Elephas maximus indicus: one gene and its partners. The protein of the gene in region 2 interacts with the protein of the main gene of each other region in a pairwise test. Links are inferred from orthologs where the notes say so. Each region holds a gene or a part of one and is shown on either strand. Other genes may lie near its edges.

Region 1 (6,092 bases), on a different chromosome or scaffold from region 2:
GATCCTTAGTTCGAATAAATGTCGTCTCTTGGCTGAACTATTAAACTAGCCTCCTAACTTTTCTCCTTACTTCAGGTCCACATTCTTCTCCAATCCATTTTCCATCCTATGGTCAAAGTGAACTGTCTAAAATTCATATCTGATGTTAATCTGTTTACAAATCCTCAATGGCTTCTTCTCCCAAGGTAAAATTAAAATTCCTTAGCTTAACATATAAAAAAATTCTCTATAAACCAGGCTCATCCTCTGACACTCCCCATCATGTTCTAATTCAGGCATTTCTAGAATATGTCTTTTGTCTTTTTATCCTTAGTGTTGGGGTCATGCAGTAGGATGTTCTGGGCATATTCAGGAAAGAAGTAGTCAGTCTAGTCTGGCTAAAGCATAAGAATATGAATGATTATGATAAGCAATTTAGTTAGAAAAACTAGATCAATGATCACTATCAGCTCCACGCTAGAGACTGCATACTTCATTCTAGGCCCTTAAAAAGACATCAACTATTCTGAACAAGGGCATGACATGTTCAGAAGTGTACTTTAACTTGTGAAATTTGCAAAATACACAAAGGAGACGTGGGAGGGGACGGTGAACTCACTTAAGAGGCTATTGCAGTAGTTTGGGAAAGGGAACTCAATTAAAGCAACTGGAGTAGGAAGGGATAGCTTCCAAGAACACGTCAAGGGGCAACAAATCTAAGTTTTGCCTGGTTGTGGACAATAATGCCAAGACAGATATCAGAGATGATTCCAAAGTTTTGAGCCAGTCAAATAAAATAATAAGGCCATTAAATCAGTTTCTATCGAACTGATCCTAACTCATGGCAACCCCACGTGTGTCAGAGTAGAACTGCGCTGCCTAGGGTTTTCAATGGCTGTGCACTTTCAAAAGTAGATTGCCTGGCCTTTCTTCCAAGGTGCCTGTGGGTGGATTCGAACTACCAACCTTTAAGTTAGTAGCCAAGCGCTTAACCAGTTGTGCCACCCAGAGACTTCATAAATCAAGAAGAAATACTAGAAAATGTTAGGTGGAAGGAAGAGAGTTGATGGTTTTAGTTTGGGAAATACTGTGTTTAAGGGACGTGAAAGAAATATACGTATTCCCACACCCATTCATTCAAATAATACGAGTGCCTACGAGGTGTCTGAATATGCATGGGAGACAAAATGAAAAGTAAGACATCATCTGTGTTCTCAAGGAGCATCCAATCTAGTAGCAAAGGTGGGGGACAAATAAATGTTGTTAGGTGCCCAGCGAGATGATTGACTCACAGTGACCGCCAACTGCCCCACAGGGTTTTCTAGGCTGTAATCTTAAGGGAAGTAGATCACCAGGCCTTTCTACCATGAAGTTGCCAATCTGTTGTTTAGTGGCAGAACCTTTGCACCACTAGAGCTCCTTAGACAAGTAAATAAGAACTTAAAATTCACTGTTAAGTACTAGCCTGGAGTGCTAAAAGAAAACAAAGGAGGACTATCCAATTCAGCCCTGTAGATTCAAGAAAAACTCTGACATGGAGAATGAGTTCTGAAGGAGTAGAGTTAGGCCAGGCAAAGAAGGGCGGCCCAGGTGAAGGAAACAGCAAGTATAAACAGCCTCAGGTAAGAGAACACAACAGTTGGACACAAACAGTTCAATAAGTCTGATGGAAGAGTTCAAGATGTGGAGATACCCAGGTGAAATGTTCAGCAGGCAGGTGAAAATTCAGGTGTTCAGCTCCCTAGAGCATATCCAGATATGAAATATATTTTCAATCTTAGGTGGCTTAGAATCAATAATGAGTATATGAATGAGGATTGGAAGAACATTACATATCAGGTTGATGTGTACGCTTTCGCCTTTGCCTCCTCACCATCACTTCTACTGCCATCAGATAGTCATCTCTCTGCTTAAAGTGAATGCTGGTTTCAGTAATAAGCAAAGTTGACCAGTGGGGATTGTGGTAAACTGGAGATACATGCCTTGCTCAAAGGGATCAGCCATTTACTCAGCTCCAGCCTTACCTGAATGTCAGTTCAATACAAAAAGATCTTCCTATTCTTCAAGAAATGTTGAAAATTCAAATTGCACATAATATCTCCCGTTTTTAAATGCTGGCAGCAAATTACATTTAAAAATAACAAAACAATATTGTGCCAGCCAACAAAATGCTTCCATGGACAGAATTCAGCAATGGCCACCAGCATGGCAGAGTTAGACCAGCTCTGCCAACTCCTACACCACTCTTTCCCCTACTTCACAGGACCCTTAACTGATAGGTTATCGTGGCAGTTACCTCAAATTAGGAGTTAACTGATTCTGAACAAAATGGCCCCAAACTGATAATGTTTGAGTTCTTTTTATGTTTTCAAGCAATTTGTCTACCTCCCTGTCAGAATACCTGCTTCTAGCATCACAGAGACCTCCTACCACCCCCCCCCCCATCTATTACAAGCTAAAAAGCCAAGCCTGCAAATAAAGCAAAAGCAAACAGATGGAAAGCCTGATGGGATTTCTAAGGAGGAATAAGGTATATAAGCCATACGTTGTCTCTCTGGTTTTCTTAAAAAACAACATGTCAACAGTATTTGTAAAATTGTTGAGAAAAAAAGACAGTAACTTAAACCTGAAATTTTGAGGATATTCTGCTAACTAACTAGTTTCCACAGTAAAAACCAAAGAGGGGGAGGGGAAGAACAAGGCAAAAGGGAAAGTAAAAGTTGCCGGCCTTTGACAAATAACAGACACCTTTTAAGAAACATTTTTCAAAAGTATAAATATTTTGCACAAAAAGTACACGATAATCTCAATTGTTAAAATATATTTTAACAAGATAACATGAAACATTCTTTGAGCAACAAGAAACCGGGATTCAAGAAGAGTAAAGCGATCTCTATACTTACAGAAAAGGTAAGAGAAAAGAAGAAAACAAAAAAATACTCTGGTAGTTGTTTTTAAAGTCATTCAACACATCAGTCTCTGATGTTCTGAGGTGTATATTAAGTCACAACGTTGCTTTTCGAAGCTACTACAATGTAGCAACATTTCCTAATTATACTGAAACATTTAAAAGCACAGAACACGGTGTAGAACCTGAGATAACAATGTGGCAAACCTGAAGAAACATACAAAGGTTAAAAAGGTTTGTAATCAACAAACCAAACGACAGATTCAGATTTTCAGGCTCTCAGAAAACAACAACAACCAAAACCCTTAAAATAATGGCATCTGCACCCACCCCTGTTACTCGGAAGAGTGGAGGAATCTGGAGGAATGGGGAGTGATTACTGAGGTCGAGCAGAGCAAGCCGTGTTTCTCTTGCTACTGGCAGGAGAGCTCTGCAATTACTTAGGGCAAGCATTCTGGCCAGAGCACTCTTCGAGCCCACTAAAATGAGCAGGCTGGACGCCTACAACGGAGGCTGACAGCAGCTCCTGGTAAAACGAAGGCGGAAAAGTGGCCTGCTTTGACCTCCACTAAAAACCCGGGCTCCTCCAACTGGTGTCTCCGAATCAAGGGGCAGGGCATTCCTCGCTCAGTGGTTGGATTATTCGGACAACTCTCCCTGGCTTCCTGCGGCCTTCCCACAGCCCGGGTAATGTCAACACCGAGAGCCAGCCCAATGTGGGGAAGCTCTCAGCGTGCCGTCCCTTCGGTGAGGCCGGGAAGAAAGACGGCCCTGCGCGCCCCGCCTCCCCAGCCCTTGGCCGGCCCCGGCGCCCTCGCCGGGGCTGCAGTCGGGAAGCGGGGTCCCGCGCGCTCCTCACCTTCTTCAGCGCTGGCACCAGCAGCCCCCGCCACTTGGGCGCGTTCTCTTCGCTGAAAAACTCGTACGGCAGCTGCTGCGCCTGCATGGTGCCCCCGGGGCGCCTCTGGGCGGGGAGGGGGCGGCGGAGGCCGGGCCGAGGAGCCGCGAGAGGGCGAGCTCGCTGCGCTGAGCAGGGCCGCGGCCCCGCCGGACGGCCCGGCCCCCTCGGGGCGCCGCGCTGCCGGGCTAGCCCTGGCGAGGGGCCTGGGGGGCGAGGCCCGCGCCCGGCCACCCACCCGACACGGGCACCAGCCGCCAAGAGCGAACGCAGCCCGGAGGCGGCGGCGGCGGCATCCCGCACCACCGCCCCGGGGCCGGGCCCCCACCCCTCCCCGGCCCGCCGGCGCCGCCCCGGGCTGCCCTCCGCTGCGGCCGCCGCGCGCCCGTCCGCCGGGGCTGCGCTCCCGGGCCCGGCCTGGCCCCGCGGCGGAGCTGGCGGCGGGGGGAGGGCGTGTGGAGGGGCGCTCGGGGAGCGGCGCTCGCTCCGCGCAGCAGGGACCCCGAAACGCGCGAAGCTCCGCGCGGGGCGGAGCGGGGCCGGGGTCTCGCGGGGAAGGGGAAGGGCCCGAGGTCGTTGCGGGCAATCCGGCCGCCTGAGGTGCCGCCGCGGCCGCCGCCGACGCCGGTGTAGCGCTGGAGCTTCCTACTTGCGAACTGAACCTGCTGGCTACTGAGCATGCGCCGCCGGGCCGGAGTGGCTCGCTCCGGGTTTTCTGGCTCACCCGGGAAGGAGGCGAAGCTCGCGGGGAGGGGGCGCCCGGCCGGGCTGTGGCTGCGCCCCGGGGCTGCAGGGGAGGGGCGAAGGAGCCCGGAGAAGCCGGACCCCGACGGAGCGGGGCCGGGAGAGGGGGCGGGGAGAGACGGGCGGTGGCGAGCTCCGGGAAGCGGCCCCCATTGTGTGCATCGGTCGCGAGGGATCGCACACTTCTCTCGGAGCCCCTGGGCCTTTCGTTTCGGAAAGAGGTGCTTTTGTGTGTGTACCTTGTTCCCGAACATTTGGATAAGGACTGTCCAGAGCTTGGACGAAAGATAGTTCCCTTCTCACAGAACCTACTGCTCAATACTAGTGGGCTAGTAAAAGTGACTGCAGCGTTTCCAGGCACCAAGGCCCAAATGTGTACGTGTAGTGTTGATTTTCTGCGTGTCCGTGTTCTTACATCACATGTGTTCATCCCTCTAGCCCACTTCAAATGTGAAGTCCTCCAGTGGAGACTAGTTGAGACCTCTCCTGAAGCTCCCAAATCCCAGAGTACTTACACCTCTCTCACGAAGCTTAGTCTGTCCTGTTTCGTACCTTTCCTGGCTCTTTCGACTAGATAAGAACAGATAATAACTCCTGGAAGGCAGATCTTTCCTACCAGGGGTTTTACACAGAATAGGCACTTTTTTTTTTTTTTTTAGGCACTTAGTGAATGTTTGTGGGATCCTGGAGGAGAGTGATCTGTAAATTGTTCCTCCATCCCAGGGCTGTAGGTGTTTGTTTCTAACAGCAGCACTCTATGGCAGGCACCTCCTAGTTTATCATTCAAAACTTTTTGAGCATCATCTCATTTAATCCTCATAGCAACCCTATTGTTTTCACTTCACAGATGAGGAAACTATTAGAGAAGTTGACATTGATGAGAAAGGTTTAAACACTGGTTATTAATCTTTACAGGATAAAAGTCTTAAGACCTTCCCTTTTAAAATGTACACACATGATTTACATAAAATTTTTTTTCACTATCGAAGGGTTCAGAATAAGATTTTAAGCTCTATTTATAAGTCCTCTGGGTAAGGAGTAGAGAAACCATACCTTGGAAGGAGTTGGGGGCATGAAAAAGGGTCTCTTCAAATATCTAAAGGACTGTGATTGGAAAAAATAGTTTGTGTGGTTCTTGGTAATTGAACTAAGACCTCACCTTTGCCACAACTCTTCCTTGACTTCCCGTTGCTTTTTAATACATTTTAAGCTTCTTACCATGGCCCACAGAGCTGTGCATCTGGCTCCTATGTACCTTTTCAACCTTTTCTCGCCATTCCCAACCTTGGCTCACCACACTGCAGTCACACTGGCCTTCTGTCCGTTCCTAGAAAACTCCCTTTCCAGCCTCAAGGGCTTTGTTCTTCCCTCTGCCTGGAGCTCACTCTGCTCCTAGCTGTACACTTGGCTGGTTCTAAACCTCACCATCTCCAAGAGCCGTCTTTGATCACTCTATTTCCCGCCTGTGTTTTTCTACCATAGCCCCGTTTATTTTCTGGCTAGCACTTAACCACAGCCTCTATTTTTAGTTGTTGGTCTCCTCCACTAGAATGTACATTCCAA
Region 2 (6,092 bases):
GATCTCAGGACCTTTGCTCCCTGTCTTAGAGCCTCCACGTGAAAATCCAATTACCTACGAAAACATTCTCCACAGAATAGCAAGGCCTTTAATGGGTTCCAACCCTATAAAGCTCCTACTACAGTGATCTTTTCAGAACAAAAAAAACCAAAACACAAAATGCCCCTCAGAAACCTGCAATGTACACCTGCACTACCTCCCTAGGAAATAGGACAACTTCCTTTGACAATGGACCATAATGCTGGCATGTAGGGTGGTGCTTTGCTCAAGGAGTAACCCCACAATTTAGCTTCTGATAAAACCGTCAGAAGTGGGTTTTCCAAGGTGGCTTTAATAATGCCGTTGTTAGCTGCTGTCAAGTTGTCCCCCAACTCTTGGTGACGCCATGTGTGTCAGGGTAGAACTATGCTCCACAGGGTTTTTCATGACTGATTTTTCAGAAGCAGATCACCAGGCCATTCTTCCTACTCCAGAAGCTCTGCCAAAACCGGTTCAGATTAATAGTAACAAGGAAGCCTCCACTGACAGGAGAGAGGTGGCTGAGCGTGAGGTCCATTGGCCAGAAATGGAACCTGGGTCTCCTGCATGAAAGGCAAGAAGTCTACCACTGAACCACACATGCCCTCAAGACTTTAATGATAGGCTCTCAGAAAGCTCTGTTCTCAAGCAGGTTTGTTCTCACAGAGCCAAGGGCCCACAAGCCTTGGTGATGAAAGTGTATACTTCCTGATCAGTGGTGTTATCCCTGGAGTGCTTTGCTAAGGTTACCTGACCCTGTAGTCCTCCAACCTCACAGTGGCCCTGACACTTCATCATGGTGTAGACATGTCCTTTTGTTAGGCCTTTGGTGATGCCGAGTTTCCCAGGCAAGTGTTGGCTCCCTACCTGTGGGTTGGGCAGGAAACCTCGCCAGTTCATAACCCCTTGGCTAGAGTATGCCCATCAACAGGTCTTACAGTTGCTGCTTCCTTGAAAAGGCCGTACCAACCTACCTGAATCCACACTCAGTGAATTCTCGCTGCTTCACGGCTATTCAGGTAGGACCATCCCGTGGGCATGTGTTTGGGCATGGAGTTCTGGCCAGGAGAGGCCACAGCCTGTGGAAAAGGAATCCATACGTGCAGCTCTGCGCGTCTAGGGTGGATGTTTCAGTTCCCATTTCTGGGGAAATCTCCAAGTAGATACAACTCACAAGGTTTAGCCGAGGGGACAGGGGCTTCAGAGAGCCTTGAAATTAATGTAGGGTCACTGAGTACGGGACTGTAAAGGTAACTTCAGAGAGTGGAAAAGTCCCCAACTTTCCTCCCATCCTAAATCTGCCTTGTCGAGGAGGGAGAAAGCTACCCAGAAAACAGGTGGCTAGCGTTAGGTAGTTCGCAATGTATTCGTGCTGCTCAGTTAAAAGGGAGCGGGGGCTGTCCCATTTCACCTCCCTTGAGGTCTTCAGGAAGCTGGGGTTTTTGTGACGGACACCTGGGTAATTGCGACTGGCCCATGAATGGTGTCAGCGCCGCGCCGAGGGGCGGCCGGGCGAGGGCGGAGCGGGCGCCGCTGTCCTAGCGGCCGCGGCAGAAAGGGGGCGCCCGGGCGCATTTCCTCCGCTCGCTCCGCCTGGGCCGGACCGACCCGCATCCGCGAGCGGCGTTCCTGGGTGTCGACCGCGGCGGCTGCCGGGACCGTGCCGGGCTTGGGCGAGCCTGCGGCGGCCGCGACCCCTCGGACGCTCCGGATCCTAAGGCGCGGCTCGCGTTCTGGCTGCGGGGCCCGCACCCTGCCTGCATGGACGCGGCGCTGAAGCGGAGTCGCTCCGAGGAGCCCGCCGAGCTCCCGCCGCCTGCCCGGGACGTGGAGGAGGAGGAGGAGGGAGAAGGCATGGAGAAGGGGCTGGAGGAGGAGGAGGAGGTGGATCCTCGGATCCAGGTAGGGCGCGCGGGGGCCCCTCGGGCCGGGTTCCGCGAGGGCTGCGGTGGAGGTCGGCGTCTACACCTACATCCCGCTCCGCAACGTCTAGCGCTGCGGTCCGGGGCGAGACGAGAGGGTCTGAATACTCGGTTTCACCGTTCCCCACTGAGGGGGCTGCAGTGCTCTTTGGATGCGGCCTGACTATATTGCGGGGACCCCTGCAGGCCCCTGGCGAGATTTGGGGGTCCCCGCAGCGTACCAGTGGTTCGGCGGATGCACAACAAAGGGAAAAAGGGGGCGGGGGCGCCATGCCGGTATCGGGGTGCTCTCAGCCAGGCTAGTGGCGCCGCAGGCATTGCACAGCCTCCCGGCTCCGGGAGGAGGGTTTGCCCGGCCCGCGAGCCTGGCGGGTGGGCGTTGCCGCCCCTGCAGCGTGGACTGGCACCGGTGTCCTGGGTCCGGCACCCCCACCTGGCCAGGGTGCCCAGCCTGAGCTGCCTTCCTCCTCCTTTGATTTATTGTAGGGAAACTGGGAGGGTTTATTGTCGCCATTGGCTCAAACCTCCGCTTGGCTTGAAATGGGTTAAAGCCCTGCTTTTTTCCTTGTTGTGGGGTCGGGTGTGAACAGAAACCAGGCACAACTGATGAGCCGAACCGACGCGTGGAGGAGGCGAGGGGGCTGGCCTGGCCTTCTGTGCTTCCATTTCCTAGACCAAAAACCAAATCCATTGCCGTCGAGTGAATTCGGACTGATAGCGATCCCATAGGACAGGGTAGAACTGCCCCATAGGGTTTCCAAGGCTGTAATCTTTAGGGGAGCCGACTGTCAACATCTTTCTCCTGCAGAGAGCCTGGTGGGTTCGAACGGCCAACCTTTCAGTTAGCAGCAGCTCAGCGAACACTGCGGCACCAAGGCTTTTTCCTAGAGGGATGATTAAAAAACAATTTTCAAGCCGAAATCTGTGTGTGACAGCTTAACCTCTTCACCCCTAAGCAAAAACACAGCAAATCTCTTTTCCAAGACCCATTTTTTTTTTTTTTTTTACCCTTTCCATAAATCATTTTTTTTATATTGCTTGTAAGCAATGCCATGCAATCTCTGGAGCCCTACCTAACTGGTTTTTCAGTGCGTAGATCAATTAAAACCTCGTTAAACTAAGTGGCTAGGGTTTAAATGAATTGTTTTTGGCAGATTAGCAAGGTAAAGATCAGGGGGAAAAAATCTTTCTATTAGGAATGATCCTATTAATTAAAATCACTGGTTTGCGTTCTTGCTAGGCGATTCTGTTAGCAATAGCCTTTGTTTGCAGAGTAAAGAGGAGTTAACTTCAGACTGGGTACTTTTTACAGATGTTGGTTGTAAATGTTTATTTGAAGGACTGGGATTAAAGCTAGTATAGAAAGAAAAAAGGCTAGGCAGGTTAAATAATTGGCAGTTTTGGAAAAAAAAAAATTTTCCTTGTAGAAAAACACTCAGCCGCTGATGAGTTAATGACAGAAGTCTTTCCTTGAGTTAAATCATTTCACTGGGCTTATATTTTTAGCATGTGCTGATTTCTTTTTTTAATTTTTTCTACAACGTTCTCCTTCTCTAAGGCAGAGGTTACTGTTTGAATTTGGTAGCTGAACCCTTTGTAATAAGGTGGGTTTACCTGGAGGCACTTACCTGGAATAAATATTTGACTATCGGAAAAGACAAATAATTCCTAGACCCTTAAGTCATTTTTAAAAGAGATACCGTCAAGATAAAGTTTTCAGAAATACAGACATTTCATTTGCTCCTCCAGCTCAAACTCATCTGTTTTCCTTGAAAATTAAAACCACCTTTTCCGTCTTCCTATGAATTGGGCTGGGGTAGTTTTTCAGGTTATGAGCTGAATTTTATTGGAAACAGAAGCCTGACCCCTCAAATCTTTTTTCTCTCTCTTTTCTTCACTAGGGAGAACTGGAGAAGTTAAATCAATCCACGGATGAGATCAACAGACGGGAGACTGAACTTGAGGTACAGAAAGCTTGAAGGGGTGGCTGTCACACTTATTCCTGGCCAGTTGGTTTTGTTTTAATATATAGCCAGCGGTTATTGTGAAGGCCCACCCCTGGGAGTTGAGCAATGGGAGTTGAGCAACAGCCTTGCTGTCTGTCAGGATGAAATACACCACTGAGCCCAACCAGTGGGCCAAACGCATGTGGATCCAATTTCGTGTGTTGTTTTTCATTATGGAAGCTCCATGGGGCCAAACCAAGGGCTGTGTGGCATATTACACATGCTTAAAACCCAGACTTAATGTGTCTGTGGAAAAGCTGAAAGGACTGAGGGGAATATTAGTTGAAGTCTTTTTAATGAATGAGCTCATGAAATCTCTTAAATATTTTAGGGTGGTTCCTTCCATTTGTACTTGGAACTGTTTGGTGTTTCCTCAGACTTACACCCTTTTTTTTTACTTTGCTGTACTAATAATTCACTCCCCATTCCTTTCCACTTCCCCGCGTGTTTCTTTTTTGTCTACTTGTGTGTAGAATATAATTATCTTAATGGTAAGGAAAAGCTGTTTAGACTGAGAAAGGCCTTCCTGCTGGGAAGAGTCTTGGGAGGCAAGCTTGATTTGCATTTCGGGAGCATTTTCCAACCTGAGTGTAAATAGATTAGCATTCTTCACAGCTACCAATTAGTCCTCACCCCTATTTACTAGTGGTTGGTTTTACCATCCATCAGCAAATTTGAACAACCTCTGTATACAGTGACACCTGTGAGAGCTGGAACTCGAACGGAATGCATTGTTTTTCCGGGTCTCACAAGTTTTCCACCTTTGACAGGGTACAAGCCTACTGCTCTTCTATCACTCTCTATTAATGGAAAATATTTGAGTTTTTCTTGTCTGACAGGTTTCCACGTTACATGGGTTCTGGCTTTCATAGGTTTTACTGTATATCTGAAAGCCCGTGTCTGTTAGAGCTATAGGCATGCAGGGAGCCGTTGGGAGGACCTGTTTCTGTAGCAGGAGAAACAGCAAGAAAGGTCAACAGGAAGGACAGAAAATGTGGCCTTGTCACCAGTCCCTGGGTGCAGGAGATAGGAATATAATCTACCAAGAATACACTGGCAGCCATGATTTCTAACTGCATGTCCAGGCCCTGGAAATACCAAATATGAATGAAATCTGGCCTGAAAAGCTTGGTGTTCTGAGCTCTGTGAAGGGTTATCCATGAAACTGGCTGCGATTCTCCCCAAAATGAAGTAAAATCATTGTGTTTGTTTACATTTTTTTTTCAGTTACGGTGAATTGAGTCTCTTTGTGATTTTGGACCATGGAAACCTCTCTGAATCTCAGATGTCTAATACACCCACTCCTCACTTATCGACATGGTTAGGTTCCAAAGATCAGGTCGTTATGTGAAAATCAACGATATGCAAAAATGGAGGATGACCACATCAGATCACAAAATGGAGGATGACTACATCATTACCTAACTGCCAAATCACATCATTACATAACTGCTAAACCACAGAGAATCATGGCCCAGCCAAGCTGACACATAACCTTAACCATCACAGCCAGCATTATTCTCCGCTGGCACCTTGGTGTTCATTACGGCCAGGTGTATGTCACTGATGTGCAAAATAGTCTGATAGATTTTTTTTTACTGTTGTCATAAATGCAAAATGTTGGATAATGAGATAGTTGATAAGTGAGGAGTAGGTGTGTATTAAACAAGCAGCAACAACAAAACCTGTGCCAACTCTATAGGGCTTTAGAGTTTACCAAGTGTTTTTTACAAGCTTTATCTTACTCCACCCTGTTCCAGCAACCTAGAGCTAGGCTGCCCAAGATGGTAGCCACTTTCTACATGTGGCTATTTGAATTTAAATTAATTAAAAGATTAAAAATTCAGTTCCTCAGTCACTATCGCCACATAACAAGAGCTCAATAGCTACTGTATTGGGCAGAGCAGAGAACACTTCCATCATTAGAGAAAGTTCTACTAAATGGCACTAACCTGGACAGGTAGGGAAGGCAGAGCCTACCTCTTCTCTAGGTGAGATCGTGAGGCTCAGTGTCTCACAGTTCAGCAGTGTGGCCAAGCCAGGTCTCCCAGCCTAGACCCATGCATTTTCCAGATGCCCTCCAGCTTTTATATTCGACCACGCCAAAGAAATAGAAAAATCAAAAAAAGCAAATCAGTTGCTGTCA
Region 3 (6,092 bases), on a different chromosome or scaffold from region 2:
ATTACTTTTAACTACACACTCTGTAGGAGCCTTGGTAGCACAAACAGTTAAGCACTTGGCTAACCAAAAGGTTAGTAGTTTGAACACAACGAGTGGTTTCCTGGGAGAAAGACCTGAAAATCTGCTTCCATAAAGGTTCAAACAGCCAAGAAAACTCCGTAGGGCAGTTTTCCTCTGTCACATGGGATCACTGCGAGTCAAAATTGAGTTTATGACACCCACAACAACTCAGTCTATACATGATGGAGAAGACTAGACTTAGTAAAGCTTCAATGTTATGCAGAGTCCTGGTGGCATAGTGGTTAAGAGTTCAGCTGCTAACCAGAAGGTCAGTAGTTCGAATCTACCAGCCGCTCCTTGGAAACTATGGAGCAGTTCTACTCTGTCCTATAGGGTCACTATGAGTCAGAATTGAGTCAGTGGTAATGGGTTTGGTTTTTGGTTTTTACGCGTATAAACCTGAAAGTATGGTAACTCACTAGAGGGTATTATGTTTTTAGACTGAAAAGTTTATTGTTTTGTCTGTTTTTCACAATCGAGCTAAAATTTTTTTTCTTAGTCAGTTCAAGGTTAGAATCGCATAACAGTACTGTTTCACTGTTTGTATTGTAGATTATCTGGGTACACATATACCTCAAAAATAGAATAAAAAGTTAACCACTGCGGCAAACAGGAGAGCCTGATTTGGAAGACAAGCTCTATTTCATGTGTGACTAATTCTAAACAAGTCCATTAAACAAATACATCTCACTTATCAACCATCTCATTATCTGACATTCTGCATTTACAACAATAGTAAAAGATCTACTATCTGACTATTTTGCACATTAATGATGCATGTCTGGCAGTAACGAATGCTGATATGTGAGGCAAAAGTAACACTGGCCGTGACTGTTAAGGTTATGTGTCAACTTGGCTGGGCCATGATTCTCAGTGGTTTGGCAGTTATGCAATAATGCAAATTGGCAGTTACGTGATGATGTAGTCATCCTCCATTTTTGTGATCTGATGTGGTCATCCATCATTTTTGCATAACGACCTGGTCTTTGGAACCTAACTATGTGGATAAGCGAGAAAAGGGTATAATTCTAAGTAGCTGTCATTTGTTAGTGATTACTTCAAAAGAGGTATGATAACAAACTGCAAGATGTGTAAAACATGTTTTAAAATAGCAATTTACAACAAATTACGCAAAAGTAAACAACCTAGGTTGAGTTATAAAACACTTAGATCTTTTATTTAACTTAAAGAAAAAGAAATACTATTTCATGTAAGGAGTCCTAGTGGCGTAGTGGTTAAAGAGCTCTGCTGCTAACCAAAAGGTCAGCAGTTCAAATCCACCAGCCACTCCCTAGAAACCCTCTGGGGCAGTTCTACTCTGTCCTATAGGGTTGATATCAGTCGGAATTGACTCAATGGCAACGGGTATTTTATGTAAAATAAGCAACATCCTTGAGTAAATATCTAGTTGGATGGAAGCCTGTTTAGGATTCAGTTCACTACATCCCTAATAGTAGTGTCTATACGTCAAGAATGGATCCACTAACGTCATAGTGATTTTCTGTAAACGTGTTTCTCAAGCTGCTATATGAGTGGGTCACAAACAGAATCTGTGAAAAATGAAATATCAGTGTACACCACGCACAGTAAGAGAAAGTACTGTTTCCTGCAACTTTTGATTCAGTTGTGTATGTATATGTCACAGTATAAAATATATTTCTAAGTATACCCAGTGCCGTCGAGTCGTTTCCGACTCATAGCAACCCTATATTTTATATATTTCTAAGTATAGGGTACAGTAAAAAAGTGTTAAAGCTACTCTTGCAATGTATGCCCCCTGATTACTACTTCTCCCAAAATGTTACCAAAGCAGAACTCTGCACCACAGTGACTCACAAAACTTTAAAGTATCCTTAACCCAGGTGTTAAGTTATGATAGTTTAAGTTTGATTTCACAAGCTCTAAAATCAAACTGCCTGAGTTCAAATCCAGTTCTACCATTTACTGTGTGAACCTGGGCTTGTTTAAACAGTAAGTACCTCGTATTTATCATCTGTAAAATGAGGATAACAGTTATTTTCTGACTGGATGTAAAAATAAATAACACATATAGTAAGTTCTTAACATACATTTCATTACCAAAATCCCCGTCATCGAGTCGATTACGACTCATGGTGACCCCACAGGGTTTCCAAGGCGGTAAATTTCTACAGAAGCCGACTGCCACATCTTTCTTCTGCAGAGCAGCTGGTGGTTTCAAACTGCCAACCTTTCTGTTAGTAGTTGATTGCTTTGACCACTGCACCGCCAGGGTTCCTTATTTTATCACTAACAAGTGGAAGGAGTGACAAACAGAAACCCGGGAAGAAACTTAACCACAGATAGCTTTAGTGTGGCATGTCTGACATGCGAGGGCGTGTGGTGCTTTAACTTTTCACTTCCTATCTTTCTGTCCTATTTGAAATTTTGTATTATATATAATGTATACACTTCTAATGTAAAGTGTGTCATGCATATAAAATTATTACTTTTATCTTTTTTAAATACCAATAGTAGGTATGGGGACAGTGAGGTTATGGTCCTTTGCTTTTTTTATTTCTCCATTTTTTTAAGACACTAAGTGTTTTTAAAAGAATATACTCAGCTGTATGCTTTAAAAAAAAAAAGGTGAAGAATAAAGCGTGGAATCCAGGGCTTAAGAATTAGCTTTTTTTTTTTGAGAACTTATTATGTATTTCTACTTTCATGACATAATGCATCCAAATATTCTTCTCCAGTTGCTTCATACAGGAATATTTTGATCTCCCCAACTACACTGTACACTTCTTGAGAAAAAGAAGAGTTTCACAAACTTTATTTGTGTTTTCCACTGGCTTACTGAAACCATAACTGATGCTTAAACACTCGTTGAACCACATTAACCTTCTTCTGGTCTAGACCTGCTCTCGTGGGCATATCGTCGTTGTAAAAACGAAATGATCAAGCAAACAAAAGAAAATTACTCTAAGGTTGCCCAAATCTAACTTTATTCCTACACATTCAGAACTGAAAAGTTCGAGCATACCTATATCCAGAGACTACCACTACGGAGTATGAGTACAAGTAGCACTGTGCAAACACTAAACTATGGATTCACACAGCCCCTTACCACGCCCCCGTCACCTGGGCACTACCTAAAGAAAGGAGTCTTGTCTTCAGGTGAAGTGCTGAAGAACTATACCACGCTCCATTTTGTCCCATCAACTTAAATCAGTTTTCTTTTCGTACCCAGACCCCCGCCTCCAAGCCCCAAACTCTTAATAAACAATTTAAAACCTCTGACCTGCAGCGAAGTGCAGGGGAGAAGACTTCCGCCCGGCCATGTCCTTAGCATTCACGTTTGCGGCGTCCACCAGCCTCTTTACCCTGGACACGTCCCCATTGCGACAGGCCTCCAGCAGCTCCCGTAGGGCCCCGCTCACTGCGGCGACCCCCGGCCCAGGTCCCGCCGTCCCAGGCCCCAATGTCGTTGTGGTGCCAACGCCGGCAGCCTCGGGGCTCTCCGCCAAGCTCGATCCAGGAGAGGATGGAGAGGATGATGAGGAAGTCGGGGAAGAAGAGGACGACGGTGAGTTGTTACCGCCACCGCCGGATGGGTTGGGAGCGACCCCGACGGCAGATGAAGCAGAAACCACCGGGACCACGGGAGCGGCGGCGACGGTACAGATTGCGCTGGTGGTACTGCAACAGCTAGTACTGTCAACCGGGTCCGGAGATCGGGGCCTGTCGGGCGGATCCCGACTGCCATCCCCCTCCGGCAGTGCTAGGCCGTGCCGCGGGGAGGCGAAGGGGGCCAGGCCGCTGGCCGTGGGGGAGGCTGGGGTGGCCCCCGGGGCCAGGCCGGGGCTGAGTGGGGGGGGAGGTGGCGGCGGCGGCGCTGAAGCCCCTGGGGCGGGCTGGAGCTGTTGTTGATGATGGTGGTGATGATGCTGAGAGCGACGCGACGCCGCCATCTTCGGACTCCCCCAGCACTGTCACTGCGGCAACGGCCTCACCGCCCGCCCTCACTTCCGACCGCTGAACCAATCAGCACTCAGCGCACAGGAAATGATGCCGCGCGGGGTAGGCGGGGTGGAAGAGAAGGCGGGATGTATTGGGAGCTCAGAGAATGGCTACGGAAGGGGGCGTGGTCTCGTGGCTGAGGGGCGGGCTTTGTGACGTCTTGGCGGGCCGGCTGGGGAGATTTGAATGTTGGAGCCGGCCACTTCCTACCTGGGAAACTTCCTGCGTTTCTCACTCAGTTTGCCTTGCTGTGCTCTGTACGTTGCCAAGTCTCCTTCAGTCTTCCTTTTCATGCTACAGACCCAGCTCTTAAGGTGTAACTCACTCAAAGCAAACAGAGAATGTGTCGTTTGTCATCTATCAGCCTTTTTGTCTGGAAAAGGAAAAATGGAATAATACTTGTCTCACAGAATTATTAGCACGATTAAATGAGCTAACATACACAGAGGCCTCAATAAAACATAACTATAATTAGCCCATTGGTCATTTTAAAAATGCTGTCTTTTCTCTCTCAGTATTCCCTTTTGATCTCTGTATGTCATTGTTGTTGTAGTTATGAGCCGTCAAGTCGGTTCTGACTCATAGCGACCCTACGCACAACAGAACGAAACACTGCCCGGTCCTGCGCCATCCCTACAATCGTTGTTATGCTCGAGCTCATTGTTGCAGCCACTGTGTCAATCCACCTCCTTGAGGGTCTTCCTCTTTTCCACTGACCCTGTACTCTGCCAAGCATGATGTCCTTCTCCAGGGACTGATCCCTCCTGACAACATGTCCAAAGTAGGTAAGACGCAGTCTCGCCATCCTTGCTTCTAAGGAGCATTCTGGCCGCACTTCTTCCAAGACAGATTTGTTTGTTCTTTTGGCAGTCCATGGTATATTCAATATTCTTCTCCAATACCACAACTCAAAGGCGTCAATTCTTCTTCGGTCTTCCTTATTCATTGTCCAGCTTTCACATACATAGGATGCGATTGAAAATACCATGGCTTGGGTCAGGCACACCTGAGTCTTCAGGATGACATCTTTGCTCTTCAACACTTTGAAGAGGTGTTTTGCAGCAGATTTGCCCAATACAATGCGTCTTTTTATTTCTTGACTGCTGCTTCCATGGCTGTTGGTTGTGGATCCAAGTAAAACGAAATCCTTGACAACTTCAATCTTTTCTCCGTTGATCATGATGTTGCTCATTGGTCCAGTTGTGAGGATTTTTGTTTTCTTTATGTTAAAGTGTAATCCATACTGAAGGCTGTGGTCTTTGATCTTCATTAGTAAGTGCTTCAAGTCCTCTTCACTTTCAGCAAGCAAGGTTGTGTCATCTGCATAACGCAAGTTGTTAATGAGTCTTCCTCCAATCCTGATGCCCCATTCTTCTCCATATAGTCCAGCTTCTCGTTTTATTTCTTCAGCATACAGATTAAATGGGTATGGTGAAAGAATACAACCCTGACGTGCACCTTTCCTGACTTTAAACCAATCAGTATCCCCTTGTTCCGTCCAAATAACTGCCTCTTGATCTATGTAAAGGTTCCTCATGAGCACAATTAAGTGTTCTGGAATTCCCATTCTTCGCAGTGTTATCCATAGTTTGTTATGATCCACACAGTCAAATACCTCTGTGTAGTCAATAAAACACAGGTAAACATCCTTCTGGTATTCTCTGCTTTCAGCCAGGATCTATCTGACATCAGGAATGATATCCCTGGTTCCACACCCTCTTCTGAAACCGGCCTGAATTTCTGGCAGTTCCCTGTCGATTTACTGCTGCAGCCGTTTTTGAACGATCTTCAGCAAAATTTTGCTTGCATGTGATATTAATGATATTGTTCTATAATTTCCACATTTGGTTGAATCACCTTTCTTGGGAATAGGCATAAATATGGATCTCTTCCAGTCAGTTGGCCAGGAAGCTGTCTTCCATATTTCTTGGCATAGACGAGTGAGCACCTCCAGCGTTGCATCTGTTTGTTGAAATATCTCAATTGATATTCCATCAATTCCTGGAGCCTTGTTTTTCACCAGTGCCTTCAGAGCAGCTTGGACTTCTTCC

What was found.
Region 1: the proteins of SH3BP5 (region 2) and SOS1 interact in a two-hybrid assay, tested with the Homo sapiens proteins (2 studies listed by BioGRID and IntAct). The link is inferred for Elephas maximus indicus from reciprocal best matches to the Homo sapiens genes SH3BP5 and SOS1.
Region 3: the proteins of SH3BP5 (region 2) and TNKS interact in a two-hybrid assay, tested with the Homo sapiens proteins (2 studies listed by BioGRID and IntAct). The link is inferred for Elephas maximus indicus from reciprocal best matches to the Homo sapiens genes SH3BP5 and TNKS.

Annotation. Positions count from the first base shown.
Region 1 is NC_064844.1:24,623,686-24,629,777, reverse strand, and holds the start of SOS1 (son of sevenless homolog 1), read right to left. Parts: upstream 3,932-6,092; 5' UTR 3,834-3,931; coding exon 3,747-3,833; intron 1-3,746.
Region 2 is NC_064845.1:36,060,606-36,066,697, reverse strand, and holds the start of SH3BP5 (SH3 domain-binding protein 5), read left to right. Parts: upstream 1-1,538; 5' UTR 1,539-1,779; coding exon 1,780-1,920; intron 1,921-3,841; coding exon 3,842-3,904; intron 3,905-6,092. UniProt on the Homo sapiens protein: Functions as a guanine nucleotide exchange factor (GEF) with specificity for RAB11A and RAB25. Inhibits the auto- and transphosphorylation activity of BTK. Plays a negative regulatory role in BTK-related cytoplasmic signaling in B-cells.
Region 3 is NC_064840.1:71,011,909-71,018,000, forward strand, and holds the start of TNKS (poly [ADP-ribose] polymerase tankyrase-1), read right to left. Parts: upstream 4,037-6,092; 5' UTR 3,993-4,036; coding exon 3,323-3,992; intron 1-3,322.